Linked DNA regions of Schizosaccharomyces pombe. The protein of the gene in region 1 interacts with the protein of each later gene in a biochemical or structural test. Each region holds a gene or a part of one and is shown in the gene's direction. Other genes may lie near its edges.

What was found.
Region 2: the proteins of rpb3 (region 1) and rpc10 form a complex in vitro, tested with the Schizosaccharomyces pombe proteins (2 studies listed by BioGRID).
Region 3: the proteins of rpb3 (region 1) and rpb5 form a complex in vitro, tested with the Schizosaccharomyces pombe proteins (3 studies listed by BioGRID).
Region 4: the proteins of rpb3 (region 1) and rpb8 form a complex in vitro, tested with the Schizosaccharomyces pombe proteins (2 studies listed by BioGRID).

Annotation. Positions count from the first base shown.
Region 1 is NC_003421.2:1,782,272-1,792,236, reverse strand, and holds rpb3 (DNA-directed RNA polymerase II complex subunit Rpb3), read left to right. Parts: upstream 1-5,238; 5' UTR 5,239-5,257; coding exon 5,258-5,337; exon of another isoform or gene 5,338-5,379; coding exon 5,380-5,429; exon of another isoform or gene 5,430-5,475; coding exon 5,476-6,239; 3' UTR 6,240-6,798; coding exon of another isoform or gene 6,799-8,262; 3' UTR 8,263-8,445; coding exon of another isoform or gene 8,446-8,451; 3' UTR 8,452-9,340; downstream 9,341-9,965. Other genes in the region: sqs2 (G-patch type RNA-binding protein), read left to right, coding at 328-891; CDP-diacylglycerol-serine O-phosphatidyltransferase Pps1, read right to left, coding at 1,466-1,470, 1,554-1,917, 2,201-2,432, 2,520-2,641; SPOM_SPCC1442.11C (uncharacterized protein), read left to right, coding at 3,687-4,235; mrp49 (mitochondrial 54S ribosomal protein mL61), read right to left, coding at 4,359-4,626, 4,808-4,947; trp3 (anthranilate synthase component I), read right to left, coding at 6,799-8,262, 8,446-8,451. UniProt on the Schizosaccharomyces pombe protein: DNA-dependent RNA polymerase catalyzes the transcription of DNA into RNA using the four ribonucleoside triphosphates as substrates. Component of RNA polymerase II which synthesizes mRNA precursors and many functional non-coding RNAs.
Region 2 is NC_003423.3:1,671,378-1,678,188, forward strand, and holds rpc10 (DNA-directed RNA polymerase subunit Rpc10), read left to right. Parts: upstream 1-4,261; 5' UTR 4,262-4,357; coding exon 4,358-4,433; exon of another isoform or gene 4,434-4,486; coding exon 4,487-4,602; 3' UTR 4,603-4,811; downstream 4,812-6,811. Other genes in the region: ATP-dependent RNA helicase Cdc28, read left to right, coding at 1-2,372; pmt1 (DNA methyltransferase), read left to right, coding at 2,689-2,856, 2,901-3,725; ubiquitin hydrolase Ubp11, read right to left, coding at 5,147-6,199. UniProt on the Schizosaccharomyces pombe protein: DNA-dependent RNA polymerase catalyzes the transcription of DNA into RNA using the four ribonucleoside triphosphates as substrates.
Region 3 is NC_003424.3:1,051,479-1,058,730, forward strand, and holds rpb5 (DNA-directed RNA polymerase subunit Rpb5), read left to right. Parts: upstream 1-3,140; 5' UTR 3,141-3,256; coding exon 3,257-3,331; exon of another isoform or gene 3,332-3,395; coding exon 3,396-3,478; exon of another isoform or gene 3,479-3,569; intron 3,570-3,689; coding exon 3,690-4,164; 3' UTR 4,165-4,428; downstream 4,429-7,252. Other genes in the region: SNARE protein Bet1, read left to right, coding at 251-261, 305-443, 493-696; mannosyltransferase complex subunit Alg1, read left to right, coding at 1,506-1,689, 1,766-2,198, 2,242-2,776, 2,868-2,990; autophagy-associated lipase Atg15, read right to left, coding at 4,663-5,937; trm402 (tRNA (cytosine-5-)-methyltransferase), read left to right, coding at 6,917-6,937, 6,987-7,036, 7,145-7,252. UniProt on the Schizosaccharomyces pombe protein: DNA-dependent RNA polymerase catalyzes the transcription of DNA into RNA using the four ribonucleoside triphosphates as substrates.
Region 4 is NC_003423.3:2,219,135-2,226,535, forward strand, and holds rpb8 (DNA-directed RNA polymerase subunit Rpb8), read left to right. Parts: upstream 1-4,511; 5' UTR 4,512-4,637; coding exon 4,638-4,707; intron 4,708-4,766; coding exon 4,767-4,968; intron 4,969-5,016; coding exon 5,017-5,122; 3' UTR 5,123-5,586; downstream 5,587-7,401. Other genes in the region: protein tam10, read right to left, coding at 1-62; mrpl24 (mitochondrial 54S ribosomal protein bL28m), read left to right, coding at 1,629-2,159; SPOM_SPBC14C8.11C (uncharacterized protein), read right to left, coding at 3,516-3,995; SRR1 family protein, DNA-repair associated protein, Srr1, conflicting annotations across species, read left to right, coding at 6,254-7,009; rRNA processing protein Pol5, read right to left, coding at 6,906-7,401. UniProt on the Schizosaccharomyces pombe protein: DNA-dependent RNA polymerase catalyzes the transcription of DNA into RNA using the four ribonucleoside triphosphates as substrates.

The DNA of each region.
Region 1 (9,965 bases):
ACATGCAAAATTATATTTGAGCCTTTCTATCAGGGTATTGCTAATAATTGATCAAAACCACTGCGATAGTATTTACTTACCCAAAGTAACAATTATTCATCAACCAAGTCACACTTGGTTTATAGTAGCAAGCTATACTGCACGAACAAAACTTTTATAATTGAGAGCGAATTTGTGGAATAGTCAGGCTTGATTTTAATAAATCCCTATTATTATCCTTGATCTCATAAAATTTAAGTTTCTTGGGTTGTGCATTCTTTATAGCACCAATGCCAACTCAGGCTGGTTTTTGTAAATTTGCTGAATTTTCGAACATTTATTAATACAATGGCAATTATTGTGGAAGACGGTTCTTTTATTACATCTTCTCAATGGGAAAATGTAGAGGCATCTCCAAAACCTCCTCCAAGGAAGCCAAAGATTGTTCAACCAAAAAAGAAGCCATCGAAGCACTTGAGCAATGAGGATGCTTTAGAAAAATATGAAATGCTGTTTGGTGAAAGGAGAAAAGAAGTGGAACTAGATTATATGAGCCACATTGCGGAAGAAGAGACTTCGTTGAGCATGATTGAGTATGATCGTCATTTTGCACTTCAAACTGACGTGAAATTGTCAAAGAAAAGAAAATCCAAACTTGTTGAAATGACTCCTAAAGGTTTGAAAAAAAGGAAACGCGTGCAAATACAGGAAGGAAGTGTGTCAACCAATACAAAAAAGCGTATGGACGGTCATGTTGTTGGTTCTAGCGCTCCCGCTATAAATAATGGCAAAGGAAAACAACTTTTAGAAATGATGGGTTGGTCTCGGGGGAAGGGACTTGGTTCTGAAAACCAAGGAATGGTTGATCCGGTTGTGGCTGTTGTAAAAAATAATAAACAGGGTCTTCATTAGTTTTTGACGAGGAGATTTTAAATCCTCATAGTGTATATTTACAAAACATTATTTATTTAGAAGGAAAAATTACTTTTCACCATCATTTTGGGAAAGTTTCTTTTTTATAAAGAATTTTATTTTTGGTTGCTCATCATGATGACTATATAAGAAATAATAATTAAAGGAATTTTACTATATTTTACCGTTGAGGGTACAATCACTTGAAATAATTCAATTTCATAAGTTTTTCATAAAGAGAGCAATAGAAAACTGGTAAGTTGAAAAACAGCTTCTAATTGTTAAAAGGACGGAAATACATATTTGGAAAAGGGGGAAGGAATGAACAATGATGAGTGCATTTACGTTAAAAATGGTTAAGTCGAATAGGTGAAGGACAGACTTATCTTCGAAATGGAAGAAAAAAGGAAAAACAGGATATGAGAAGAGATTCAGTAAGGATTATAAATTTAAGAGAGGAAAAGGCTTCGCATGCGAGTAACATCAAAAGCAAAAAGTGAAAAAAACTGTGTATACCCAGATCGCTGTACTGTAAAGTTTCATTTGGATTCTATTGAATAAAAGCATCAGTTGATCAAACTAAAAAATCGATCAGTTAATATAAACAAAATAAAAAAAAAGAGCATTCTAAACATATTTGAGCGAATGTAATAGAAACGTACTTTTTGGAACTTTGAGTTTCTTACTAGTCATAGCAATTCCACTCAACACAAACAAAACCACAAGCGGGTGAAATGCAAAAGGTGTGTTTCCACACCACTCACCCCAAGGTAGATTTTCATGAGTCTTTCCCTTTAAGATACAAACTCCGCAAACGGTTACTAAGGAGAGGGTGGTAGGAATGGGCGTTCCTTCGAAAAACTGAGACTTGCCAGATCCATCTTTAGGAATGGAATTGACAGAAACATTAAAACGAGCCAATCTAGTTAGACCACACAAAACAAAAAGGGAAAGTATAACGGTATCAAGGAACGTTTGGAATCCACAACAAAAGGCAAAGACGGCTGGAGATACGCCAAATGAAATCTATTTTGTTAGTATAATGATATAAAAAGACCGGATAAGAGAGAGAAAAAATATATATAATCAAGAATTATACGCAATCGCATGTTTATTGAGAAAAATTCAGACTCATTGAACAAACCGACATAATGTAAAAAACGAGAAGCAAAAAAAAAAAGCTCGACTTAGCTAAAATGAAGAAAAAATTCAACCAAAGAAGCCTCTTATCATGTTCCTCGTGTTTTTATCATGTCAAAGCAACCAATGTGAAAATAGTCTCGGAACAGATTTGAGAAGTTATACATACCAGATCAGCAAGACTATCCAATTCCTGACCCATTAAGGAAGATTTCCCACGCCAACGAGCCACTTTACCATCCAAAAAGTCAAAAAACAACGCAAATGGCATAAAGTACATTGCATTCCATAAATGGAAAGCTGATTGCTGTCCGCTTAGGCAGTAACGTAAACTTGAAAATATACTCATGACACCGCAAAACCCGTTCATTAAAGTAATCAAGTCTGCAAGGTGGAGGGCTCTACAATCCTCTAGTTAGTATTTCAAGTAATGAATCCTTTTGCAAAGTCCTTTCGCAATGGTGTAAACAAGAATACGTAAATCATACCTAATGAGTGAAAAATGTCTATTATCATTTACGTAGGCCAGTAACTTGTTCTCTTTATCATTGCTTTGGTTTGATGCATCGGATTGTAATTTCAATCCAGGAGAAACTCGTGATCTAACCATCTTCCAAAATTGGCAGTTTCTGGTTCTAATTGTACCTGTTTATTTACCGGAAGTCGAATAACTAACAAAAATAAGGCACCGCAGGGTATCGTTATGGTTGTGATTGAGAATTGTCTAGAAATGCTTAGCGATCCAGGCTTTGGAATTCTTATCAATCTTTTAATGTTTATTTATTAGCATCGTTAAAACAGCATTGTGCGTTCTGTTATTTGAATAAAAGTCGAAAAAGCTAATCAATGAATATAAAACGAGCGAAGTGTTTAAACTATTTTCCAAGCTAAATATGGTGGTTTGTGGTTTTGAATTACATGAAGAAAATAAGAAGAGGGAACGTACCACCGCTGATAGGGGATGCGGCAATTTGTTGTATGATCCAGATATGTGTGCATAAGGCAGTAGAAGGCATCGAAGCAAGATGATTAAAAACCGAGTAATGAATGACCTTTGACAGTGTATATAGTACGTCTCATTTAAAATTCCAAGTTGGACCCAACTCAAAAAGAAACAAATATCACGATCACATTAAGGGCCATTTTTCATCTAACTTTCTATTGTTATTCGACTGGCAAAAAATTGGGCTGTTGTGGGAATCGAACCCACGACCACCATCACCCTAAGATGGTATCATACCACTAGACCAAACGGCCACTATTGTTAAGTAAAAAATTTTATTATATAGAAAGTAAACATGAACTAGCTTATGTTTTTTTTGGAGCTTTTAGCATTGAACAGTACTTTGGTATGCACTATTTATGTAAATACTAGCAAGACCTTGAATTAAAACAGAATGTATTTCCTTTAAATTTTCTATTATTCATAGCTTGATAGTTAAGAACATTCATAACTAACTAAATATGGATTCCTATAATTTTATGTTCTACTATTTAATCTGGTAACAAAGCATCGAATGCGCACTTTTGAGTATTGTTTTAAACTTTTCAAACATCAACTTAAACACTCTGTTTTTTTTTGTACAATTTCTCTTAATAAGATAAAGTTAGATAACATCTTCTGTTCAGTTAAACTTTGAATCGTTTACAAGTACATGCTCATCGTTAACAGAAACCCGAAGAGTTTGGTAAGAGGATATTGTAAAAAAGATATTGTACTTCGTAATTTAGATGGTTGGCTATTTGATATGATCACAATTTCAACCATTTTTAAACTCTACAATCAAATTTGTTCACTTTCCTCCACTGACCGAAAAAAAACCTCAATATCTAATAAACTGCAGCAGGAATTTTGCATTATGGATATAAACAAAGTTGGCAGAAATTTTATTTCTTTAGGAAAAATACGATCAAGTAAGAGGAGAAACGCTATTTTGTCATACCAAACGATCATTAGTTCATTCCCTCATAATCATGTACAAAAACTTTTTCAAAGAACTCAATCAACAAATATGATTTATACCAAGTTAGAATATTTCGGTCATTCTTTGTTCTTTTATTTTACGGCATTTACGCTCTCGTTCAAGGATAGAAAAATCTTAATGCAAGCCGATGTATTTTTTAGACTAAAGCTCGTATTCAAGATAGCATTCTTTTTCACTCAAACAACTTTTTTAAATAAAAAAGAAAATAGGGAATTGTAGGTTTATGGATCATCAAACAAAGGAATACAGTAAACGGACTGCAGCAAAACTAAAGGTTTTTTAGAAAAAAAAAAGATGCATATTTTGTTCACTGAAAAAAAGTAATTTTAAAAGCGTTTTTGCTTAATTAGAAGGAGGTGAATAATCTTGTTTGTGCGCTTCCTTAATGTTTTCCGGGGATGACTCGTGATGAAGTTCTTTAAGCGCTTTTTGAATATCGGAAGAAATTGTTTCCAGCTGTTTTGACCGCATGTCGTACGAATAGATTACTTTGTTGTTTGAGATAATGGAAAATGTTGGAGTTTGATCGTTCGGTAAACGGTGATTAACGTTAAACTTCAAGCCGTAATTGTTGTAATACAATGAAGGAAGACATTCTTTTACAAATTTTCTAGAATTTAAAACGTTAGCAATGAACAACGCATGAAACGGAATCGTAGATCAGTGCTTCCTCACACAAAGTATTATCAAGCAGTTATTTGAGAGAATTAAACATGAATTGAGCATAAAATGTTTGAGGTACCAGTACATAGACAACATCGATGATTCTAACACGAATAAACAAAACTTACTTAGCACCCATATGTCCCAAACGGCTGTCTAAAGAATATTGAATAGATACTTCCTGAATATGTTTTGGTAAAGGAATCCCTAAAGCTCCAGCACGAATCTTGTGCAAAGATTTTTGTAATTTACCGCCTATGCTAGACATGGCGAAAATGTAAAGTTGTAGTAATAATCAGCCAAACAAAAATGAAAGAGTTTGAAACAATATGTTTTTATTCAAATATTCTGTCGGGATGAACAGAGAATATAAATATTAATGAATTAAGCCTAATGCCGTAGATTCGTACTCTCTTGTCAATTGTTGCTTGCTCTCTTTAAAAGCGAGTTCCTTGATCTCGCATTTAACGTAGTTTAGTGTGTCCTTATGCTAAATAAGGGATCACCTAACAGTGCGGAATGGGAGAAATGAGTATGAAATTCTGCAACAAGCATAGACCAAACGACACATTCTCATTATGGATTCAGAAACGCATATTACGATACGAAATATAAGTAAAAACTCGGTGGATTTTGTCCTTACAAATACAAGTTTGGCGTAAGTGAAAAGCTCTAGGAAATTCCTTCTAATAGTTGAAAGAGTTGCAAACTCGCTGCGACGTGTTGTACTTGCAGAGATTCCAACAGTGGGTAAGATTTAGGTTCATTCTTGAATTAAATACTAATGATGTTTTAGCCATTGACCTAGTTGAAATTAATGTGAATACCTCAGTCATGCCTGATGAGTTTCTAGCACATCGTCTTGGTATGATACCTCTGGATAGCTCCAACATCGATGAACCGCCTCCAGTAGGTTTGGAATATACGCGCAATTGCGATTGCGATCAGTATTGTCCCAAGTGTTCAGTCGAGTTGTTCCTAAATGCCAAATGTACTGGTGAGGGTACGATGGAAATTTATGCTAGAGATCTTGTTGTTTCTTCTAACTCTTCTCTTGGACACCCTATTCTCGCCGATCCAAAATCACGCGGACCGCTTATTTGCAAACTCAGAAAAGAGCAGGAAATTTCTCTGCGTTGCATTGCCAAGAAGGGTATAGCTAAAGAACATGCTAAGTGGTCACCTACTTCAGCTGTTGCATTTGAATACGATCCATGGAACAAGTTACAGCATACTGATTACTGGTTTGAGAATGATGCAGATGCAGAGTGGCCAAAAAGCAAAAATGCCGATTGGGAAGAACCACCGCGGGAAGGCGAACCATTCAACTTCCAAGAGGAACCGCGTCGGTTTTATATGGATGTCGAAAGTGTCGGTTCTATACCACCCAATGAAATAATGGTTCAAGGTTTACGAATTCTTCAGGAAAAGCTTGCAGTTTTAGTTCGTGATCTCGACGAAGAGCAGCCTACTCAACTTTCTGCTAACGAACTGAATATGGAGGAGAATGCAGAAATGAACTGGTCTCCCTATCAAAATGGTGAAGAAAACACGTGGTAGACTATGCTTCAATTCTTTTCTAAAAATTATCCATTTTCATCCTTTATATGTTTGTTGTTATAAAAAATACTCTAGATGCGTTTTTTTAATCATCTAAAAGTTTTTAATTTATGGCCTGCGTCCGTTCATGTCATACCTTACACATTTTTATCTAATCCTTTTTTTTTTGGCTTTTGGCTACAACATATTGTACGTATTGATATGCATATATAGAGATATATATTCCTCCCTCATATCATAATTTTGTTCTTCTTCACTTGGATTTATTATAGCTTTAGATAATTTCGTGAAAGAGAACACTTTCGGAATTGTCGTTTTGATATCTTTTTAATTTTCGGTGATTGCCTCTTGAACTCTTTGTTGGAAAGTTTATATCGGCTCACCATGCTCACAATGAATAGACAAAGTTGCTACAAGTGGACAACGAGATTACAGAATACAATTTTTTATAACGATGTTTTATTCGTTTACCAAAAATAAAGACAACAAAAAAGTTTTTAAAAACCTCAACACTTTAAAATAACATGTACAACGAGAACCGAAAGCGTCTCCTTTACTTTTATGCTGAAGAGTTTTCTTCTTCAGCGTATAATTTTTCGGTTTCCTCAATTGCAGTAACATTTGAACGTAGTTTGTTTAAAGTTTCCACGTACTCATCTTGTTCATCTGAATCAAACACAATACCACCACCGGCTTGCAAATAAACAGTTCCGTCTTTATAAACCATTGTACGGATTGCTATACAAGTATCCATGTTGTCATCTTCATAGCCCCAACGACCTACGGCTCCCGCGTATATACCACGCTTTTCTTTCTCTAATCCATAAACGAGCTGAATTGCACGGACTTTGGGAGACCCACTGACCGTTCCAGCCGGAAATATACTACGGAATGCATCAAAACGAGTTTTATCAGGTCTCAGAACACCAGAAACTTGAGAAACAAGATGCTGAACATGAGAAAACTTTTCAATAGTCATCAACTTGTCAACACTTGTTGTGTCGAGATCACAGACACGACTGACATCGTTTCTTGCCAAGTCCACCAGCATTACATGTTCAGCTCTATCCTTGACACTAGCAAGTAAATCCTTGGCATATGCCTCATCCTCTTCTTTAGTTTTTCCTCTTGGAACAGTTCCGGCAATGGGATGATTGATAATACGCCCATGCTCTGATTTAACCAGTAATTCAGGGGAAGCACCGATTATGTCGAAATCATCACAGTGGATGTAGAACATATAAGGGGACGGGTTAACTGTTCTTAAATGGCGGTACAAATTAAAAGGATGTAAATCTGTACGCCTAGCAATCCGTTGGCTTGGGACAGCTTGGAAAATATCGCCATTAAAGATATGTTCCTTGAGGTTGGAAACAAATGCTTTATACCCGTCTTCGCCTACATTTGACTTAGCTTCGTATCCTAAATGGACCTTCTTTTGCTCAGGCAAAGGAATTTCAGGACTTTCAAGTTTCTTTTTAAGCATATTGATTTTGAAAACGGCAGCTTCGTAAGCCTCTTCAATGGGTCGGCCTTGCTGAATGCAAACATGAGAAATTATCTTGACAGTCTGATAAGCATGATCGAAAGCGACTAAATCGTCGGTCATGAAAAACATAGCCTCCGGAAGACCCAAGGTATCTTCTAAAGGCATTTCAGTAGTGGGTTCAAAATATTTGATGCAATCATAAGAAACATAGCCCACAGCACCTCCACTGAAAGATGGCAGACCCTCAACAGGGGCTGTTTTAACTTCTTTCAACTCACGTTCTAAACGTGCCAAAGGATCTGTTTTTCCATTGGCCATTAATATTCTATAAGGGCTGCCAATAAAACTGTATCTTGAGACACTCTCTCCTTGAGTGACACTTTCTAAAATAAACGAATACTTCTTTCCTTGATTAAGCTTCAAGTAGGCTACTGAAGGAGTCAGCATATCGGCAGGGATTACTCCATAAATGGGAATCTTGTTAGCCTTGTGCTTTTCAGCAAGCTCTTGAACTTGTTTCAAGTCAGGATAAATCTAAAATAGTATTAGTATCATGTATTAATTTTAAGCTTCATAGCCCTAGAAACGGCGACTTTTACAGTTAAAAGCAATACAACAAAGGAAAGACCCAATCCTAAACTCGTCAATATATCCCAATACTACTATTTATTTTCCATAGGTTGGGTCTCCTTGTTAGAACAAAAAAAATCAAATTACCTTCATCTTATTGACAAGTCTATACTCGAATAAGTGCAAATTCAATAGCAAACCAAAAAAATCCCTTAAACTTGAACCGATCTATTTCCAGAAAGACAAGCAATTCCAAATTTTTCTGTAAGCGAAGAAAGAAAACAAAAGAACCAATTAATTCAACAACGTAAAGCTGCTGGAAGAAGACAACTTGTGAAAGTTGGAAAATTCATCTAAATTAGATGAAAAATATAACGGATGCGTTGGAAAACGTTATATGGTTAAATGTAAATAAAAGACTGGAAATAGGAATTAGGAAGTTATATTTAACTGCGGACAAACCGATAAAAGTATTTTGTTTTAGGATAAGATTTATTTTTTTCCTAAGCTCTTAGGCAAATTCTTAAAATGGCCAAAGTTTCGTCGAACATAAACTGCAATCTAGTTAAGATCTTGATTTCTTTTTTTTTTATTTTATTTATCTAGTCTCCTTGGTTTGATTTAAAAATGTTAAAAATAAAAGGCATTCGTTTAGATGAAAAGGGTGTGTATGTTAGCTAGAAAGTTGCAGACCTGAATAGAGGAGAAGACACTGTGTAAAAGTCCTCTACAAAATCTATGAAATTTCGTGAATCATGCGCTTATAATATTCAGAAATTGAAAAGAGGAACAACGATTATAACGAAAGAGAACTAAGAGGATTTAGGCGTTGGAATTGGTATAAGAGAATACATGACTCGCTATTAGGGCAATTCAGAATAATGTTATATTTATGCTAACAAATTTATAAATTTAATAGAGTCGACTACCCTTAGGATTTGAAGTGCGTCTTATACCGAAACGATCGAAGTGAATTAAAGTGATTGCTTGTTTAAGTGCAATTGAACAGTCAAGGCTAGTCATCTATAAATCTGAACAGTTCAACTTAATAAGCAAAAAGTAATGTTATTCGATCAAGGATTTTTCGTCTTGTGAATGATCTTGCAAGTTAATAAAAACGGAGATGAAACTCTCGAACGTATAAAAACAATCAATCGCTGGTTAAATTCAATCTTTTAGCAAAAAAGGATTTTAATTGTATAATGTATTCAATCGGGAAAAGCAAAAGAGGGTCTTTCACGCGGCACTATTTTTTTGCCTGAAAATAAATAAGTAAATAGAACAGTATCCTAAAAACAGTTTATTCAAATCCTTTTTAAACGAGTATAGGAATCTTGTTTGTTATATATTGGATCTCTGTCAGTTCAAATTCATGTTATTAAGTAGAATAAATACCTCTTTCACTTCACTCAATAAACGCAGATGCAAAAAGAAAATAGGAAAAATAGTATAGGATAAAGGTAAGATCGCACTGTTATTAAACAGTTATTTTACTTCTACAGTGTTGATTCCTCATGATTTCAAGTTAAGATATTGTCGTACAAAATCCCGATTCGGGGAATTGAGCTTCACTTAGATTGCAAGCAACGGAAGATCATGTTTTTGCTGAAAGTTGTTAAATATTGTACAAAAAACAAATCACTAGGCATACTACTTTCAAAGCGACA
Region 2 (6,811 bases), on another chromosome or scaffold:
TTGCAGGCGAGAAGTTGACGCAAGCAGAAATTAGAGAGCTTGAAAAGAAAAAAGAACTACTTCGAATTGCTGAAGAACGTCAGAGATTGGAAAAACAAGCCACTGAATATCAAATGCCTGAAGACTATTTTACAGAGCAAGGAAAATTGGACAGAAAACGAAAAGAGGAGGTCTTATATCAAAGGTATAAGGATAGTAATGAAGGTGAGCAAAACGAGGTTACGATGGGAGCTGCCGAACAACAGCGGTGGGAGGCTCAACAAATAAATAAAGCATTACTTTTTGATCAAAACGAATGGCTTCCTCCAGGAGAGAAGCAATTTGATTTCGTATTTGACGAATCGCAACAGATTGATTTTTTACTCGATACTAAGCTTTCTGCGGAGAATCCTGTTGACACTGACAAGATGACTGATGTTAAAGTTGAAAAATCATTAGAAAGTTCTCGCAAAAGTTTACCTGTTTATCAATACAAGGACGATCTTTTGAAGGCAATAAATGAGTACCAAGTGTTGCTTATTGTGGCTGAGACCGGATCTGGTAAAACAACTCAACTTCCTCAATTTCTGCACGAAGCTGGTTATACTAAAGGAAATAAGAAAATTTGCTGCACCCAACCAAGAAGAGTTGCTGCAATGTCTGTTGCTGCTAGGGTTGCCAAGGAAATGGATGTACGGCTTGGACAGGAAGTTGGGTACAGCATTCGTTTTGAAAATGCTACTTCTGAAAAAACTGTCATAAAATACTTGACTGATGGCATGCTTCTCAGAGAATTTTTAACAGAACCTGACCTGGCAAGCTATTCTGTCATTATTATAGATGAAGCCCATGAAAGAACGCTTCATACAGACATTTTATTTGGACTTGTAAAGGATATTGCTAGATTTCGTCCAGATTTAAAGGTTCTAATTTCGAGTGCTACTATAGATGCCGAAAAATTTTCGGCTTACTTTGATGAAGCTCCAGTGTTCTATGTTCCTGGCAGAAGATATCCAGTCGATATTTATTACACCCCGCAACCTGAAGCAAATTATATACAAGCGGCTATTACAACCATTCTTCAAATACATACTACCCAGCCTGCTGGTGATATTTTAGTTTTTTTAACGGGCCAAGATGAAATTGAATTAATGTCCGAAAACATGCAAGAACTTTGTCGGATACTAGGAAAAAGAATTCCGGAAATAATTTTATGTCCGATTTATGCCAATCTGCCTTCTGAATTGCAAGCTAAAATTTTTGATCCTACACCCCCTGGTGCCCGCAAAGTTGTATTAGCAACCAATATTGCTGAAACTTCTATAACAATTGACGGAGTGAATTTTGTGATTGATTCTGGATTTGTCAAACAAAACATGTATAATCCAAGGACTGGTATGGAAAGCTTAGTATCTGTGCCTTGCTCCCGTGCTTCTGCTGATCAGCGTGCCGGCCGTGCTGGTCGAGTAGGACCTGGAAAGTGCTTCCGTTTATATACGCGTCGGACATATAACAATGAACTGGATATGGTAACATCTCCTGAAATTCAAAGAACAAATTTGACAAATATTGTTCTCTTGCTTAAATCCCTAGGAATTAATAATCTTTTAGATTTCGACTTCATGGATGCTCCACCACCTGAAACGTTGATGCGTTCATTAGAGTTATTGTATGCGCTTGGTGCCTTAAACAATAGAGGAGAATTGACTAAGCTCGGCAGGCAGATGGCAGAGTTTCCTACAGATCCTATGCTTTCTAAATCTTTGATTGCATCTTCAAAGTATGGATGTGTTGAAGAAGTGTTATCAATTGTTTCTATGTTAGGGGAGGCTTCCTCTTTATTCTATAGACCAAAAGACAAAATAATGGAAGCGGATAAAGCTAGAGCGAACTTTACCCAACCTGGTGGTGATCATTTAACTCTTCTTCATATTTGGAATGAATGGGTAGATACTGACTTTTCGTACAATTGGGCCCGTGAAAACTTTTTACAGTATAAGAGTTTATGTCGAGCTCGAGATGTTCGTGATCAACTTGCCAATCTCTGTGAACGGGTGGAAATTGAATTGGTAACTAATTCTTCAGAGTCCCTTGATCCTATTAAGAAAGCTATCACAGCTGGTTATTTTTCTAATGCTGCACGCTTGGATCGTAGTGGGGATTCTTATCGCACTGTTAAAAGTAATCAAACCGTTTATATTCACCCTAGTTCTTCTGTAGCTGAGAAAAAGCCAAAAGTCATCATTTACTTTGAATTGGTTTTGACAACTAAGGAGTATTGCAGACAAATTACTGAAATACAACCCGAGTGGCTCTTGGAAATAAGCCCCCATTATTTCAAGCCAGAAAATATAGAAGAATTGCAAAAGACGCAAAAACGACATAAGCGGTAAAAGAGTGGAAAAGGAAAATTAGTTTTAAAGGCGATTTGGTTGTATATAATCATAATGAATTTATGTTTCACAATAATGGACAAACTTTTAAAAGATCTCATTTAGTTAGCTTCAAAAAGACGTACAGTTTTGTTTAAGTCATCATGTTGTATATTAATTACTTTTAATACTAAAAAACATTTTATCGTTTTTGAAAAGGCCCGAAATGCTCATGACTTTTCAAGCTTAACAAATCCAAGCAAAAAATCTAATGCAGGTAGGTCTTTTGTAACCCTCACTAAACGATTACCGAGTGTTGCATGCTCGGTTACATTCAATGCTTAGTACAAAAAGATTACGGGTCCTGGAGCTATATTCTGGTATTGGAGGTATGCACTATGCATTGAACCTGGCAAATATACCGGCTGATATTGTGTGTGCAATAGATATCAACCCACAGGCAAATGAAATTTATAACCTCAATCATGGAAAACTTGCTAAACACGTATGTTTCAAGGATTTACTCGATAACTATATTAATACTTATAGATGGATATTTCAACTTTAACGGCCAAGGATTTTGATGCATTTGACTGTAAATTATGGACTATGAGTCCCAGTTGTCAACCTTTTACTAGAATAGGAAACCGTAAAGATATTCTTGATCCTCGTTCCCAAGCATTTCTAAATATTTTAAATGTGCTTCCTCATGTAAATAATTTGCCTGAGTACATTCTAATTGAGAATGTTCAGGGTTTTGAGGAGAGCAAGGCAGCTGAAGAGTGCAGGAAAGTTTTGAGGAATTGTGGTTACAACCTAATTGAAGGTATTTTGAGTCCAAACCAGTTCAACATTCCTAATTCTCGCAGTAGATGGTATGGATTGGCTAGGCTCAATTTCAAAGGAGAATGGAGTATTGATGATGTTTTTCAATTTAGCGAGGTAGCGCAAAAAGAAGGCGAAGTAAAAAGAATAAGAGATTATTTGGAGATAGAAAGAGATTGGTCTTCATATATGGTACTAGAGTCTGTGTTAAATAAATGGGGCCATCAGTTTGATATAGTTAAGCCAGATAGCTCTTCCTGCTGTTGCTTTACACGGGGATATACACATTTAGTACAAGGTGCAGGCTCAATTTTGCAGATGTCAGATCATGAAAATACGCACGAGCAATTTGAGAGGAACCGGATGGCTTTACAACTTCGGTATTTTACCGCCAGAGAAGTCGCCAGGTTAATGGGATTCCCGGAAAGCCTCGAATGGTCAAAGTCTAATGTAACCGAAAAATGTATGTATCGCTTATTAGGAAATAGTATAAACGTTAAAGTTGTTTCATACTTGATTTCTCTATTACTGGAACCTCTAAATTTCTAAAAGCGGTTAGAAGTCAAAACTATTTTTTTAAAATGAAAGGAAAATTAATATTACTCGATAAAAGTTCTGCAAAAAAAGGCACTTATTTCAATTGGAATTACCCTTTAATGCATACAGTGTTTCTGAATGCTTTATATAACTAATTACCAGGACTAATTTCAAGACAAAGAAATCGTATATTTATACACTAAAAATTGGAGAACTCGGGGAATACATTATTTTTGAGCTATTGTATTTATCCTCACACGTACACATAATTGTTATGAAATATAAATTAAACAATCTAGTTATTTATCGATTTAAATTTAAAATTATGTATCCAGCCCTTTATTCTTTTGCTAGATTTAATAAAGGTTAAATTTAAAAGAACGTCAAAATTAGATACGAAATTATATTTGAAGTTTATATATCCAATAAATGGAAATGTACTTGAAGTACTTTAAATGAGAACTTTTAACTCATTAATGTATTATAAGATTAGCTTCCCAATTTTTTTTGAAGCGTTAATATTGAGAATAGTATGGTAGTAAAAATTTGCGCGCTACTACTCACCACCACAATTAGAAAGTTCAAGTGAGGAAGTAAAATCACAGGATTTAACTAGACTCAAATACACTAAAAAAGTTTACAAAATGAATCATCCAACCTCCACTGGCGGTACCGCTTTCAATCCCCCCAGACCAGCCACTATGATTTATTTATGTGCGGGTATGATCATTGAGTAGAATTAAATGAGTATATGATAAAAGACTGACCATCAGATTGCGGAGCGCGTAATACAATCCAAGCGAAAGAAGTTATTCGTTGTCGAGAGTGTGGGCATCGTGTTATGTACAAAATGAGAACCAAGAGAATGGTTCAGTTCGAAGCACGCTAAGTTTTAGAGTTTTCAGACTATGAAAAGAGAAAAACGGAATTATAACTTTTAAAATTTGAGAAATGGCTTAAAAATGGTGTAATATGCAGGTCCTTATGCTTAATTCGAGAAATTAGAAGGTCCTGGGGTTAAATGGATAACCCATGACAATAATAACATTTTGGATATTTGATGCATTAAAAACTGTGAATTGTACATGATGAGTATATCTAAAATTTTTTTTAGTAAATTATAAGTCATTTGGCGACGGTTTGAAAGTGCCATGTGTACTTTAACCATGCCTATAAAAAATCGTCCACTTGAAAATCTTAAAGTCAAGAAAACCGATTTTATGGACAGATACGGTGGATACATACATACATATATTTTCATACACAAGTTTTGCAAAATATTAGTATTGAATGCTTTAGCTACAAAACAACAGGTTATAATTTGAAGCTTTCAACAGTTTATAAAGGGTGACATCAGTCGGAATCATTAGGAGAAATATCAAGAATTTTTTATTAAGGTACAAAAACGTATACGATTAACTAGCATATATGCGCTAATCAAGCGCAAGAGGAGATTCCATTTCGTAAAACAAAAGACAAGCTGAACGAGTTTGACTGAGAGCTTCATTGAGAGATGATTTAGTAATTAAAGAATCATTAGCCTTCCACCAAATGTCATCTTGAAGTCTATAGCAAAGATAATGACCATAAGTAACACTTCCGGAATGGGTGATTAAGGATCGTAAAATATAATGATGTTTGTTTTTTAGGATAAGTTTGCTAGGAAATGAGATAGAAACATTATTTCTGGTTAAACCTTGGCAGGTATATGATGTTCTCTCAAGTTGAATTTGCAAAATCGTAGGAGGATTTTTCCAATCAACGGTACGAATGCATGAAGTTTTGGAATGTTTTGGGGAGGATTTGAAGCAAGAGTCACATTTATAGTCAGAGATGTGCTGTTCGCGATCGGCTTCCATTAAAGAGAGCAAGGAAACGTTAGAATTTCCACTGTACTCCGGAGGTAGACAAAGCTGTATCGATGTGGCAGTAGAATAACTAATACTAATGGCAAGGCATTGACAACATTGTACCTTTTGCTCCATAGTTCCTATGAATGGCGAATCTACAGGAAAGGAGAGTACCTTCGACCATTTGTAAGTGTGAGGTTTTTGAAGTTCCAAAGTTTCCACTAGATGTTGTAGAAACTCTTGTGCATCTTGTTGAATGGAACGAACAAGTTTTTTATTAGTGGCAATCTCTAATGAATTGAGGAAGGAACCGGGAGTGATTGGATTACCGGGGCCACTATTTAATTTTTGCAGAAGTTCATAAAGGGTAGCGTATAAGGTAGAGGAAGAACAACGGAGTTTTAGGATTTCCAATAATGATTCTTGACTTGCTAGGGATTGCAAAACACAATTGAGGAAACAATCGTTACCCGAAACATTGTAAAGGCCTTTGATGGAGGCGTTTTTCACCAACCTCTTGCCAGTGGAAGGAGAGGTAACGATGTAAAGGGCAGCAAACGTAGTTAAAATGGCGGCACCCTTGAAAACTGTTTTGTATTTTTTTGCCCTAGAAATGGACAATGGCGTTGTAGACATGATAATGAATGCATGCAATGAAGAATTAGGGAAAAGAAATTATTAGAGGTAACAGAGAATATAATTTACAAAAGAAAAAAAAAATTTATGCATAAAAACAAATTTTTTTTGGCAAGGGAAATAAGAATAGAAGACGAGCGTTAAGTCACAGCATATATCCACTAGGTTGTTGTTACTAGCTTTATTGGTATAAACGATAACACGAGTCCAATGGCGGTGAGGTAAAGGACACGATAATAACGTACAATATAGGTATAGTTAGGGAGACGAGGTAATAAGAACCAAACTTTTTGAGCATAAAACAACCTTTTTAGGAAATAATCAGTGATAGGATGAGTAAAAGTTTGAAAGTTTTACAAAGGCAAATTTAAAAAAAAAAACAGTTGTCAAAAAAAGTGTCAGCAATTAGAATGTTGTCGAGTAATGCGACAAAAGACACAAATATTACTTTTTGGGAGGAGGGAGTCAATAAATAAATAGATAAAGTTGAAAGTGGTAGAATGATTTTACCTTTGCAATTTTAGCGATCGCAATAGATGAAATAGGCGATAAGATATGAAAGGATAAAAAAGAAAAAGAAATTAAAAAACGTTAGGAAGTAATTGTAGAGAA
Region 3 (7,252 bases), on another chromosome or scaffold:
TCTGTTTCGTCTGCGGTAAAAAAAAAATTGTTTAGATTAATGTAAAAACAGAGCAAAATGAGATTTGTCACTTAGTACAACAATGTGTTACCTCTACACGCAACTCCTGAGTTGCGTCGCATGTTATTTGATGAGCTGACTTTGCGCACAAAACCAATACATAACAAAGAGATCTTAGGATTTGGAAGTTGCGCTACACCAAATACTTTTCATATTCGGTAAAGGGAAAGATTTTAAAAAAAGCTTCAGAATGGGATCAAGGTATGTACTAAATCTGATCAATCAATGTCTAACTAATCATTAGATTCGGTAGAAGAAAAGAACGCAATGGCGATATGTTGCCCTTGTATGAGTCTCAATCTCCTCAGCATTTAGACTCCTTGGAAAATGAAAATGATGAACGGATTTCAAAGTTAACTGGAAAAGTCAAGTCTTTGAAAGAGGTAAGATTTTTGCCATCATCAGGAAAAACATGCTAACTAATTTTAATAGCTTACTATGAATATTGGGACTGAGATAACGTCTTCTACTAAGTTGATGGAGTCAATGAACGACTCATTTGACTCGACCAAGTCACTTTTGAGCGGGACAATGACTCGATTAAAGAATGTTTCGAAGAATGGAGGAATTTCAATTTGGATGTGGCTCGCCTTCTTTTGCCTCGTTGCGCTTATCCTCGTTTTGGTAAGATTTTAGGCATTTTGCTTACTACCTTTACTCTTTTTTAGAGTTAGCATTTTTATGATTCATTTTATGGCGTGTATAATCTGTTAAAATTGTATACTTGAAGTTTCTTCATTCTCTTTTCTTCTAACATTTTCATTCTGATTATTTTAAACTTATTATCGATAGAAAAAAAACATTCATCCACCTTTGGTGTTTCCACACAAGTGGTTTGTCACGATAGGAACGCAAATCCTCAATTTTTGTTTTCCTAACGACTTTGTTTTTAACTTATTACATCCTGTTATTATAAGTTTCTATCTGTTATTCATGATACTAGCCCTTCACTCGTCGTCTTACCATTTTTGTAAATTGACGCAACTATTACATTTGAGTTTTATTCAAGTTTATCGGCATGCAGGTCATGTCTTTTGCATTTTCTATTCCCAAGCTTGAAGTATGGAATGTTTAAGTATGTGATACGAATCTTACTACTTAAATTTATTTGCTTATTACATTATTTCTGCGTCTAGTGTTCTTTTACTTCAATACTTGAAATAAAATTTTTTTTTTTTCTTTAAGAGTACAATCATGCTTCTATTCCTTTTCCTTTGTATTTTAAATGCATGTTATTTCGAGTTTCGACATATTGGGTAGGTTGCTGTTTAATAGTGTATTATGGGCACAATAATATTTACGTAAACCATCAGCGCTGTACACCTACCTATAGAAAGTTGTTTTAAGAAGATATTCGCTTTTTATATGTCTAACAGTATTTAATAACTAGTTTTCTTAAGCGGAAGTTTCGAAATTCGATCAGTAACCGTGAGTTTGTGTACAAAATGCTAGTATTGAAGATAGTTTTATTTTTATCTTTGGTGATATGGTTTAATTTAAAAAAGAGGACGGATAAGAAAAGAATTATTGTTCTCGTCCTAGGAGATATTGCAAGAAGCCCTAGAATGCAATATCATGCCGTTAGCTTCGCTAAACTTGGATGGAAGGTTGATTTGTTAGGCTATCAGCGTAAGTTATCTAAAATATTTGAATATTTTAATCTATACCACATTAGGTGTATTTGTTGTCACTAACACTGTCGTAGACCCCGGGTCATCTGTAGGACTTTTCGAAAGTCATGAAAACATTCGTTTTTATCCCATTCCTTCACTTCCTGCGTATCTTCAACCTAAGAACCGCCTTCAGTTTTTGTTTTTGGGACCATTGAAGGTTTTACATCAATTTCTTGCACTGAACTGGGCTCTTTTTGTTCGAAAACCTGCTTCATTCCTGTTCATTCAAAATCCTCCTTGCATCCCTGTTTTCTTCATTGCTCAATGTCTTCATATACTACGTGGTACAAAATTTATCATAGATTGGCATAACTTTGGATATTCAATACTTGCGTTGAAATTAGGGAAGCAGCATACCTTTGTTAAATTACTTAAAATTTATGAGAAATACATGGCCCGAGGAGCATATGCTCATTTGACTGTCTCTAAACGGATGAAAGATGTTTTACAAACTTGGGGAATGAAGTAAGTATAAATTTGCTTTTTGCTCAACTCTAACATTTTCAAGTCCTTGCTATGTATGTTATGATAGACCCCCCAACCACTTTACTCCCATTAAAAATGAACAGAAAAAGCAAATGTCTATCAAAAAAATACCTTGTGAGTACAATCCTTCTTCTACGAAGCTCTTAATTACTTCTACCTCTTGGACACCAGACGAGGATATTTACATTTTATGGGAGGCTCTTAATGAGTACGACAAAACTTTAGATACGCCCAAGCTTTTGGTGCTGATAACTGGAAAAGGCCCGATGAAGGAAGAATTTTCTCAGTACATTAAGAAGCATCCATTACACAAAGTTCGTTTTTGCATGCCTTGGCTCAGTATTGAAGATTATCCGCAGGTTATGGCCTGCGCAGATCTTGGTGTATGCTTGCATACTAGTTCAAGTGGACTTGACTTGCCTATGAAAGTTGTAGATTTGTTTGGCTGTGGTGTCCCTGTTATTGCGCTTTCTTATCCAACGATTTCTGAATTGGTACATGATGGCGAAAACGGGTTGATCGTTAACGATTCAAAAGCTCTATCGAAAAAAATGCAGGTATGAAAAAAGATTTTTTTACAAAAAAAACCTTGAATAGCGATTCCTACATAATTTATTGGCTTTTTCGTACGATAACTAACTGTTTTAGTATTTATTAACTCATGCTAATGAATTAAATTCATTGAAACTGGGTGCTCTCAAGGAATCTGAATATCGTTGGGATGATGAATGGAACAAGGTCATCCCTCCTATAGTTCAAGGTTCAAATTAAGTATTTAGATATTACATTCTCAAACCTGAATTCCTAATTACCTTTTTTTTAATAGAATAATCCAATCGTTGTTACACTATTTGACCGCATTATACATGCTTAACGAATACTTTAATAATTATTAGAACTCACCACCAAAATTTTCTTGCTATCTTCTGCACACTGCTCTGCCGTAACTCCCTCTTTTTGGGAACATCTCTTTTAGAAGATCAATTCTCATTTTTTAACTCAGTTTTTCTATTTTTGTTTCTTATTAATTTTTCATAATGTCTGCGGAAGAAAAAAACATTGTTAGGGTGTTTCGTGCTTGGAAGACAGCTCATCAATTAGTCCATGACAGGGTATGTATTTGATAATCTTTTTTCTTCAAACATATTAGAATTATTAACAACTATTATAACTTAGGGTTACGGCGTTTCTCAAGCTGAATTAGATTTGACGTTGGATCAATTCAAGGCCATGCATTGTGGCATGGGTCGTAATTTAGAGTATGTACATTTATTTAAATCCATCGTGATAATGGATTAAACAATCCGATTGATTATAGAAGCAAATTCTGTTGATATCTGCGTATATGTCCATAGACGCCGGTATTTATAAATCGGTTTACTCTTAATCTGCTTTCTAATTGATGAACATGCTTCTTCTAAACTTCCTTTATCAATTTTTTTTTAAAAACTGTTTTGCTAATGCGTTTAGTCGTACAACTTTGAGTTTTTACGCAAAACCTTCCAATGATTCAAATAAAGGCACAATCTATATCGAATTTGCAAAAGAGCCCTCCGTTGGTATTAAAGAAATGAGAACTTTTGTTCATACTTTAGGTGATCATAATCATAAAACTGGTATTCTAATTTATGCCAATTCCATGACCCCAAGTGCCGCTAAAATCATTGCTACTGTCACCGGCCAGTTTACCATTGAGACTTTCCAAGAAAGCGATTTGATTGTCAACATTACTCATCATGAGCTTGTTCCTAAACATATTCTTCTTTCACCGGATGAGAAAAAAGAACTTTTAGACCGCTACAAGTTACGTGAAACTCAATTACCCCGTATTCAACTAGCTGATCCTGTTGCTCGTTATCTTGGTTTAAAAAGGGGAGAAGTTGTGAAGATTGTCAGAAGAAGTGAAACTAGTGGCCGTTATAATAGCTACAGAATTTGTGCATAATTTTAATTGGTACATGTGGGCTAGAAATATCGCTTCAAAACTACCATCTCTTTCTTTTTCTTAAAAAATTTCAATTTGAACATAATAATTTAAAATTCAAATCGAATAAAGCAATGTCTATAGCTATTACAATGAGCTTAAATTTTTGGATTAGATAGTTTTTAGAACAATACTTTATTAGTGATTTATTCAATAAAACATCAAGGGTTGGCATTCACGTTTACTTTTTATTACCAAAAGTAGATAGTTTATAGTCAGTACTGCTTTGTATCAATATTTCATTAAGTTATCATAGCACAAACGACTGTTTAAACCGAAGACTAAAGCATCTTCTTCTTGCTGGTACTTATTTTAAGCAAGCTAAAAATAAGTTTTATTATAGGTATACTAGAAAATAGGCATACTCGAATCTAATAAAGTGTGAAGGTTGAAAAGTTTGGCGTTCGTTAAAGTTTTAAGGACATTATCAGAAGTTGAAGCAAAGGACAGCCACTCCTTTCAACTATCATCATCAGGAAACTCCCACAAGTAACAATCAACACAATTCGGTGTGTGTGAGCAATCTGGTAATTTTTCGTATGCATCTATAACATCATTCAAAACAGTTTGCATACGATGGTGGGTAATAGAAAGATGCCACCCTTTGTCCTTTACAACATCATATAAACATTCCTGTCCTGTATGACAAGTTGATTCCATCGCATAACCTCCGGCCCAGCATAATGAAGTTGGACCTGTGCATTTGCCCAAATATATTGGATCAGCATTGTGACCAAAATGCCATACTAAACTTTCTTCGTCCGGTAATCCTGGAGGCATTGGAAGATGAAGACGTCGGGCAGCCATTCGATCACCAGGTGCTTCAAAAGTGACTGTTGGAATTCCAAAAGAAAGTCCCATTAAAGCGGCAGTAGCGCCACCTAATGAGTGTCCAGTCAGCCAAATCTGTGCATCAGGGTATAATTCTTTAACACTATAAAAAATATCCAATGATGCAGAATAATACCTTGAGTCATCTTGCACTTCATCCTCAAGGCAAGTTTGACTACAGGTGTATGTATTTTTATAGCAACCACAAACCGTAGACCAAGCCCAGCTGACACGAGCGCAACAACAGGAAAAAAGTAAATTGTCATTAACGCGATCCTTCTGCGAGGTACCGCGTCCGATTCCGAAGATGGACGTACCTTTCATCGCAATAATTATAGTGGAATTGTCATCATTGGAAAAAACATGTCCACGTAGACCATCTTCCTCCCAACCAAATCCTTCAGGTGGAGTTATATTCCAATCAGGTCCTAAATCTAACCAGTCCCCGTCGAAAGGAATTTTTTGGTAAGCATTGTAGCTCATCTTTCCAAGGGAGTAAATCGTTTCTTTATCAGTAATATCAGGAATCACGATTGCTTCCTGTTCCCATAAATCAGCTGGTGAATTCGCTTCAGAATAAATTCCTTTCATAGACTTATATCTATAATCAGTCAACGCATCGCGAGACTGATCCTTCAAGTGAACGGAATATCCTTTCTTCATTTTCAACGGCAATTTTGATTCACTCTCTGCGTAAACACTTTTCTTGGCCACATCTAGTCGATAATATGATATACTGTCCTCATTGAGTCCGTAATGAAATACATGCTGTAATTTGACATTAACCTTATCAGGCACATTTTCCGAAGATTTGATAACACTTTCAAATACTCCTGTACAACTAATCCTAATGATGAAACAAAAAAGGAAGAAAAAGCGCCTCAAGAATAGCAATTGAGACATTGCATGAATAGTTTGCTTTCCTTTTGTTTAAAAGAGCAACCGAAAAACGTTATGCGAATCTAATCCTCAATTCTAATAAATACAATGGGATAATTCAATGATTATGCTTTATCAGCTCATGTACATGCTTAACTCGTTTATGTTGCTCATAAATAGATGTTTTAAGTTACTTAACGCCTTTGGTAAGCAATAATTAATACATTACACTGCAGTAAGTTACGCATCATAGCGTGGTGTTGTATGCTGATAATGTCGCTATTTGATATAATATCTAGGTAATGGACACTGTAATTTGTGAATTTAGGATGAATGTATGGCATACAGGTTTTGTGACATGTTCTTCATAACGATACCGGAGCCTTAGACTATAATAATGCTATGATTGTAAGATTTATTTATATTGTTCCTAAATACGGCAATGTTCCTTCTCAGAAAAGACTTTGCAAATGTAACATGTTTTGCTATGGAGGACAAGGTATGAATTAATCATCCTTCGCTTTATAGTAGCACATTAGGTGCTTTTTATTCCCATGCTTAGCGGTAACCTATTTAATGGCAATAATGAACGCTTGAAATTTAACTATATTAGCAGTATGCGCAGCTCTTGTTGTTTCCCTAAAAGAATAAAGTCATATATGGATATATTCTCCTACATACGCATACTGATAACGATATCAACGTAAACATTTTTAAAGTCAGTTGGAAGAATTTAGATGTCCAATCTGAATTTTCTGTTTTTAAAGTCACCAAGACCTTCCAAATACAAATGCAAATCAGCAGTTTTGTTCAGCGTCAGAACCTTAGTTAGCATGATCTTTATCGTTATTTTAGCGATAAACATTTTTTCAAAGAAGTGCTAGGTCTCGTAAATAAAAAATAAAGACACATTGCATTGCAAAGTTTGCTTAACACTATTGAAGTTGAATTTTTATGTCTAGTAAACACTGAACTCTGGTTTGTGAGTAAATTATTGTTTGTAATGGGGAAAAGAAATAAAAAGGTATGATACTTTGTTAATCGGCCTTCTTTTTTTTTTTTAACAAAGATAGGTGACTCAGGGCAAAAGGGCTTACAATGACAAAAGTGAAATTGTCTTAGAGTAAGTGTACAAAGGTGCTTTTTTACGGGGTTTAAAGCTTTATTGGGATATTTTTAAGAAATACATTGAAAAGATCATTATTGTAGGAAATAGTCAGCTAACATGCAGAAATAAACAATTCGAAGGTTACTATAAAAAGCAAAATTTATTTCGAGGAAAGCCAAATGATGAGTTTGATAGCTTTATGGAATATATGAGAAAGCCCTTACCAACTAC
Region 4 (7,401 bases), on another chromosome or scaffold:
GAAACATCTGTTCCAAAAGGATGGATTTGCTTATCCTTCTTTGAGGATTTGGAGCTTCCCATTTTTTTTTTAGACCGTGGCGTTGGTGGAATTCCAATAGAGATAAAATCGTAAACAAATGAGCCAAATAAGCAATACCCTTAGACAGCTCGGAGTTTTATCTTTTTTCGTAAAAAAGTTTATGGATCTGAATACATTTCTAAACATTATAGTTAAGCTGCATATAGCCATCTATTGAGTACCAAAAATCTGTTCCGTTTTTGGAAAACATCTAGATAGATCGGTTGGCAATCAATTATTCTTCTTTTTCTACATCTTTTATGATCTTTGATGCTTCCTTGTGGTCCACTGAAGCTTCTGATTCAATTGTCTCAGGCGTCTCAACGGAAATAGCTGATGACGCTTTCATAGAAGGGACATTCACATTAGGTTCTTTAGCATTAGTCATTTTCTCTTCTAATTTATTTACTTCTTTTTTTTTATCTTTTTGATTCTTTTCCTGTAGTTCGGATCGCAAAGAAGATATCATACTGTTTCTGCTCTGCAACAACATATCAAGAATTTCAAGACTTTTTCCGTGATAGTCAACTTCATGAAGTAAGGGTCTATTTAGAGTTTTCCTTAAAAGATTAACAGTTTTGTCTTTAGCGGTAATTTGTCGTATTCTCTGATCCAACAGTGAACTTGATCTTGACGAACTTTGGCGGAGTAGACCTGTCTCCGTCCTCAGGAGTTGCTTTTTTCTTTCTTCCTCTAGTACTGATTTGTATTTATCAATTGACTGTTTGGCTGTATGGTGATATGCTGAAAGCGAACAGGACCCAGCAATTGTCCTCCATACCATCGGACGCAAACGACCATTCCATAGACATCTTCTTTTCGCAACACGTTTAGAAGCTTTTGTCCTGAGTATTCTTCCCCGTCATCATTAAAAGCCTCTATCTCATTGGGAAAACGCCAAGCTTGCATTTTATGATTGCAATGCTTTAAGTCGGCAGATTCTTGAAACATAAATCTATATACTGGGAGCATTTTTGGATCTTTAGACGGGACAAAGTAAGATAAAAATGTTGATTCTCTATCTGTAATTAAATTGGACATATAGGAGCATTCTTGTAAGGATTGCTTAGGAACCGCTAATGAGATCCCTTCATTGCCAAATTTAAGTTGAGATTGGCGCTTGTTCATATCATATCAATTCTTTCTTTGGAATAGTGGAATTAAATTTAAAAACTATGAGAAAAACATTGATTTAATTCAATTTCAAATCAGATTACGGCAAGGTGCACTTGTTGAGTTGGATGGTCCCATGAAAATTGCATTACAATCTCAATATAGATTACACTTTCAAGATTTACAAACTATTTTTTTTATCGATTTACGAATTTCTGAACGTATGGTTAGCTCGAAAATCCCATTTTGGTCGAAGCAAACGATGCAAATAGATACTAGGTAGATAATGGTAAACACCGACAATTTTAAATATTTTTTGGACAAATATATATAAACTTTTTTTTTTCTCCTGCTAAATTAATATGGGTCAACAAAAATTCGGATAGCGTTTTCCTGCAGAAACATAACTCGTTTACCAAGACCACTTTTGGTATTGACAACGCAATTTTTTAATAATGGCAAGTAAATTGCTTAGAAAGTTGGCATACCCAACTCTACCTGTAAAAGGAAAGATATATGATCCTTTTAGCAAGTTTCAACAAAATTTATATGGTGGGTCGAAAACCGAAGCTGGTAACAACAAAATCCCCAAGTTTGGACATAAAACGCGCCGTGTATGGATACCAAACGGTCATTCTAAATGGTTGTATTCAAATGTTTTAGAAGAAAAGTTTCATTTGTATGTCACGTCCCGAGTTTTGCGGACCATTGACAAGGAAGGCGGTCTTGACGAGTATCTTGTAAAGTCAACGCCTTCACGCCTTAAATCATTAGGACTGAGAGGAGTAGAATTGAGAGCATTGGTACTACATAAATTGGGTGCTAAAAACCCCATTCTTGAAAAGCTTCCTTCCGATTCAGGCGCACAGAAACGATACCTCGAAAAGGTTAAGGATGTGGTACTTAAATTAAATCGCAGCAAGAAGTTATACCAACAAATTAAAAGTTTAGTTGGAAAGGAACGATCGGTCAATACGTCTGTGTAACTTATAATTGCACCGCCTTGAAGTTGATTTATGAGTAGCTTGATTACTCTTGTGAGCTAAAGTTTTAATGAACAAATTTACGTTTTCAATCTTTCTATGATCGATCAGTTAACTGGGTTACTCATGGATTTAGCAACAATGTAGTAGTAATGCGTTACAATTAATTTGCCATGGTACGATGTTTATAACTTTCCTTTACATTTTTTTCCAAAAAGGTTACAATATTATCTTCTCTCTCTTATCCTTAAAAATTTTTGAGAAGAAATCATATCATGGAACTTATTTGTTTTATGTTTTTATAACTGGTCTTACAAGCGAGACAGAAGAGGACTTGCCTGATTTGTTTTCCAACTTGTGTTTTGTGATAAACCTTATAGTTCCAATTTTACTTATTTAAATGAATTATCTTAATTATTACTTTAATATTGACTTACCGAAGTTTTTTTCACTGGTTCCTGTGCATCCTCATATGTTTTTTGCTTCGAATTTCTGGAGTATCGGGGTTCAAGTAATATGGATCAATTCTCTCATGCATTTATTTTTGCATTCGCACATTTTGGTCTCATTTTTCAACAAAATATCTTTTCCCGTTTCAATAAATTCATTCAATGCCAATTACGGAGTCTGTAGAATAGTTAATGATTCGTTTGAATATGGGGGATAATAGATATTTATTGTGTAAACATTGATATCAGTTCCCATCTAGGCGTAGTTTTCTATCACTATAAAAGGTCTTGAAATTGAAAAAAAAGAAGTCATGACTGCTGGCCTTGAGAGCTTGTTCACTTTGGTTCTTGTGATGACAATGCGATCCATCTGACAAAACGGATGTATTGCTTTAGAGAGTATCCGATCAAAAAAAAAATTGTTCCTTGCTCATAACAGATTAGCCTAAATTAGAACAGAAAATATAATCAAGATCCTCTATGCGCCAAGTGATTAAATTTGATTGCTGCAAGTTGATTCAATTTCACAATAACAAATCCTATTCCAAAAAAACTGTTTCAGCTTTCTATTCATTTTATTATACTGATAAGGCATATTGTCTGGGCGCTCTTTCCTTTATTTAAACTGTCTACACAGAGTGTACGAAAGATGTTGAGCACATTGAAGTTGACAAAAATGTTCCTTGGATTACAAACTCATATTTGTCGTGATTTATTAGCCAAGCTTTTGGTTGCTAAATACAACCCAATAATCTAGGGACATTGAATTTTTTATAGGTTTTGTAACAGTACCTTTATGGCAAACCTGTTTTTCATTTTGACTTAAAGCAGCTACAAATGATAAACACCAAGTATCAATTGGGACAGTGAGCGAGTGATCCAACAAAAATTCACACAATTTAAGTCAATACTATATATTCAGGAGTTTAGGTGTAGCTGTTTTGAATCCCTTACTCGTTCCAGATATGTATTCCCTAGCGGAAATGTGTTGAGTATCTGCTGATATGGATTTCATACTTGGTTCAGCAAAACAATTTTGTGCTGCATCGTCTTTTCCAAAATTGGGAAAGCTTAGTATGCCAAATTTAATATTGCATTCCCAAGTTGTACTGCCTAGCCTGTCTGCTGATACGAATTTTACTGTGTGCCCAGCATGTAAACAGTTAGCAGAGAAATGTGCCATATCAGCATTTCCTCCATTCGGTAACTTATGAGCGTCAAAAGTTGTCCAGTATAAATATATATTTTCCCTATTGCGTACGTGACATACAGATCTTGGGGTTCGAATACCAAAATGACTATTAACAGCGTTCTTAGCCATATTAATGATGAACAGTATGCTTATAATACCGACTTTTAAAATTTTGGTGATAATATCATCAAATTGCATCAGAGAAATAGATAAAAGTTTCGACTGTAAATTCAGAATATCTGGTTTGGTCTTAAAAACAATTTATTATGGTGTACAGTAAACCTGAGATCCCAAAGGGTGTTCAGAAACGTCAATTCCACCTAGATAAAGTATACCTCTGAATTTTTTAAGTGATGAGAATTTATAATTATTCTTTAACTTGTAATAAATCCCTTAAATAAAGCTCAATGTAGAAATATAAGCCTGAATAGTATGTTCGCTATGCTCTCTTCAAACTTGATAGCAATTGTCGTTTAAAAAGCTTTTTGCATAACAGCTATTGATGAATTATTCAATGAATAGGATGCTCAAGTAAAGAACGTTAGCTTTCCAATACAATTTACGCTCTTTCTAATGTTTATGAAATAATGAGAAATAGCGTAGCGTATCCTTATGTGTTATTCACAAAATTACATAGCAAATTTTAATGAAATATCATATAGGCAGAGATTGTTGATTTTTTTTAGACCGGCGATTTTGTGTCTTGAGCCTTTCACGAACGAATTTAAAAATTTGATAGGTACCAAGCTTTATTGTTTGTAAATATTACTGCTCATTATTACGCTCTTTTTCTTGGGGAAATAATTCTGTATTGTTTTTTGGGAAACGCCAGTTTTAAAAATGTCGGAATCCGTACTTTTAGATGAGATTTTTACAGTCACTTCAGTTGATAAACAAAAGTATCAAAGAGGTTTGTGAAATTAAAAAAAAAAACAAAACAAGAGAAAGAAAACTACTAACCTTACCCAGTTTCACGAATTACGGCTGTCTCAGGCCAAAATGACATGAATCTTACTCTTGACATTAATTCGCAAATTTATCCTTTAGAAAAGGATGCAACCTTTAGTTTGCAAATCACAAGCAATTTGAATAGCCCTGATTTAAAGGAAGCTGCTGATTATATTATGTATGGAAAAGTCTATCGGGTGGAAGAAGCTAAAGATGAGAAAGTGTAAGTGTAAAAGCAGTTGTTAATTTATTTATTAACCTAATTACAAAGATCTGTTTATGTAAGCTTTGGCGGTTTATTGATGGCAATTGAGGGCTCTCATAGAAAATTGTATCGTTTGTCATTAGACCATGTTTATCTATTACTTAGAAGGTAAATAATGATCGTGGGTATCTTTGTCATGCTTTTCCAAGGAAAGGAAAGGAGAGAAGGAAAACGAATCACCTTTTAAAAAGAGCTTTTCTTCATCGTATTATGACATGTTAATTTTTTGGTGGTTTAATTCAATCTCTTCGTTTTAAAGTGAACAATTTAAAGTCTTAGAGATAAGGGAAGCAAAAAAGGTTCTATAATTTAAATGTTAAAAATAGTAATTGATATTTTAATTTTCCTATTTCTAAGTTAACCGCATTTTGGGTTTAATTCCAAGAGCAGCAACTTTCAAACTTGGATTTTTAAAAAACGCTTTGCTATCAGGTAGGTTCTTGTTGTCTTTGATTTTGCATAAAGCATCTTAATAGATGAAATATGTACGATTATGCCTAGCTTTATAGGTAGAAGAAACAAGTATAGTTTTTACAACATTATGTATCCAAGGAGTGAATATGACTAGTTGACCACAGTCAGTCGTGAAGATGTATATCAATACGTAGCAATAGTATAACAATTTATTCGCTCCTCATTGAATTAGACGAGAGGATCATTTCTAATAATCCGTGCAGAAATCGCTACATTCAACAATAAAGGATAGTTTCGTTAGATCACATATGATTTCGTTAAATGCAACTTAGCTTACTTTTTTAAACTTCTTTATTTAAATATTCGGTACGTTATTGCAATACGAGCTTTAATTAACAATTTCAAGTTACTCTGCCCAATTCTTTGTTCGCATTTACAATTTCGTTTGTAGAGACCGGTTCTTTTTTTTTTGAGTAAGTTACCTTTTTAATTTATTAAATATTGATTATCTAAAGAATATGTAGTTTGATATTTCGAGACGCATGAAAATAACTCTATTTCACGTAAACAAAACCAACTATCATCTTTTTGGATCAAGGGATTTAGTAATTTGAGATAATATTTTTTTTTTTGAAAATAAGAGAAATTATTGAGTCCTGCTTTTTTCCTCAAATTTCCTTTTTATTTTTTTTGTGTGTATTCATTTCCATGTTCATTATATCCTTCTAAAATTTTTCGCTGCAATTGGAACCGGGATTGTAAAAGTGTTGGGCCTTCCTGCACTTTAAGTTTTTACTCAGGTATTTATTTCTTTATTGATAATTTAAACATGGACTTTATTGTTGTTAAACGGTCTCGTAAAAAAAAAAATGGAAGAGGAAAATTTCCTAAGGTTTCAAACACCATTACTCAAGGTGATACAGATTTATGGTCACAAGATACTTTACAGCGTAAATTAGATAATTCTAGAGAAAAATTAGAGTACTCTGAATTTTTAAAAAGTGTCCAAAGTCAATTATCAGAATTTAAAGATCCTATCCACAAATGCATTATCCTTGGGCTTGGTAGAATACACACTTTAACAGCTTCTTTACAGTTGTCTCTCTTTTTTGAAATTATGAAAATATTTAATTTGCAACCAAGATTTTGTTCATTTTATGATCCAGCATTTCTCAAAGATGATGTCGAATTTCTCGAAAATAAAGGGTTTTGTGTTTTGCCAGACCCACCAACACCCAGCTGCTTAAAATACACTCTACTTTATATGCCACACTGCCCTACTTCACTATATGAAACTTGGTTAGCTGCCTATGTAAATGATGATCCCAGGCATTTTATCATGTGCGGCAACAATTTACAACTATATGTGGACAACAAGCCTAGTAAAGAAATTGTTTCTACGTACCCAAACGTCTACAAAATGTGTACCAAAAATTATTATACCCGACTTTTATTCCCTGAATTCCCTAATGTGTATGCATTCAATGATTTGTCTTTTCATTTTCATGATGCCCAGTCTTTTGTGGAGAAGAAGCAGCCGTCGAAGTTTGTTGATGCTTCAAGCGTTGCTGAGCACCCCAGTTAATAAAATCATGAAAAATGTTTGCATTATAATGACTCTTCGAGGGCTCTTGTATCCAAAGAAGGAAGCTTTTAAGGTAAACTTCAACACCTTCTTTCAGGTAAGGGGTATCAGCTAGTAATTTCAACAGAAGTTGCGAAATTGACGAGCCTGTAGAACCAAGTGATGCCTTTTTTCCGCATAATACATGTACTTTCTTCAGTGCTTCCAGTACATTTTTTGATGAAGGTTTCTCTTCTGTCCATTTTAACTTGCTAAGGCGATTACGAAATACCGCTTGCCCTTTTTCCTCCAAAACTTTGTGCTTCGTCTTTAAAATCATTTCCAAAAGTGGGATCAAAAACTCAAAACCAAGTCCGTTATTAGGTTGAGTCTTATAATAGTTATCAATAAGA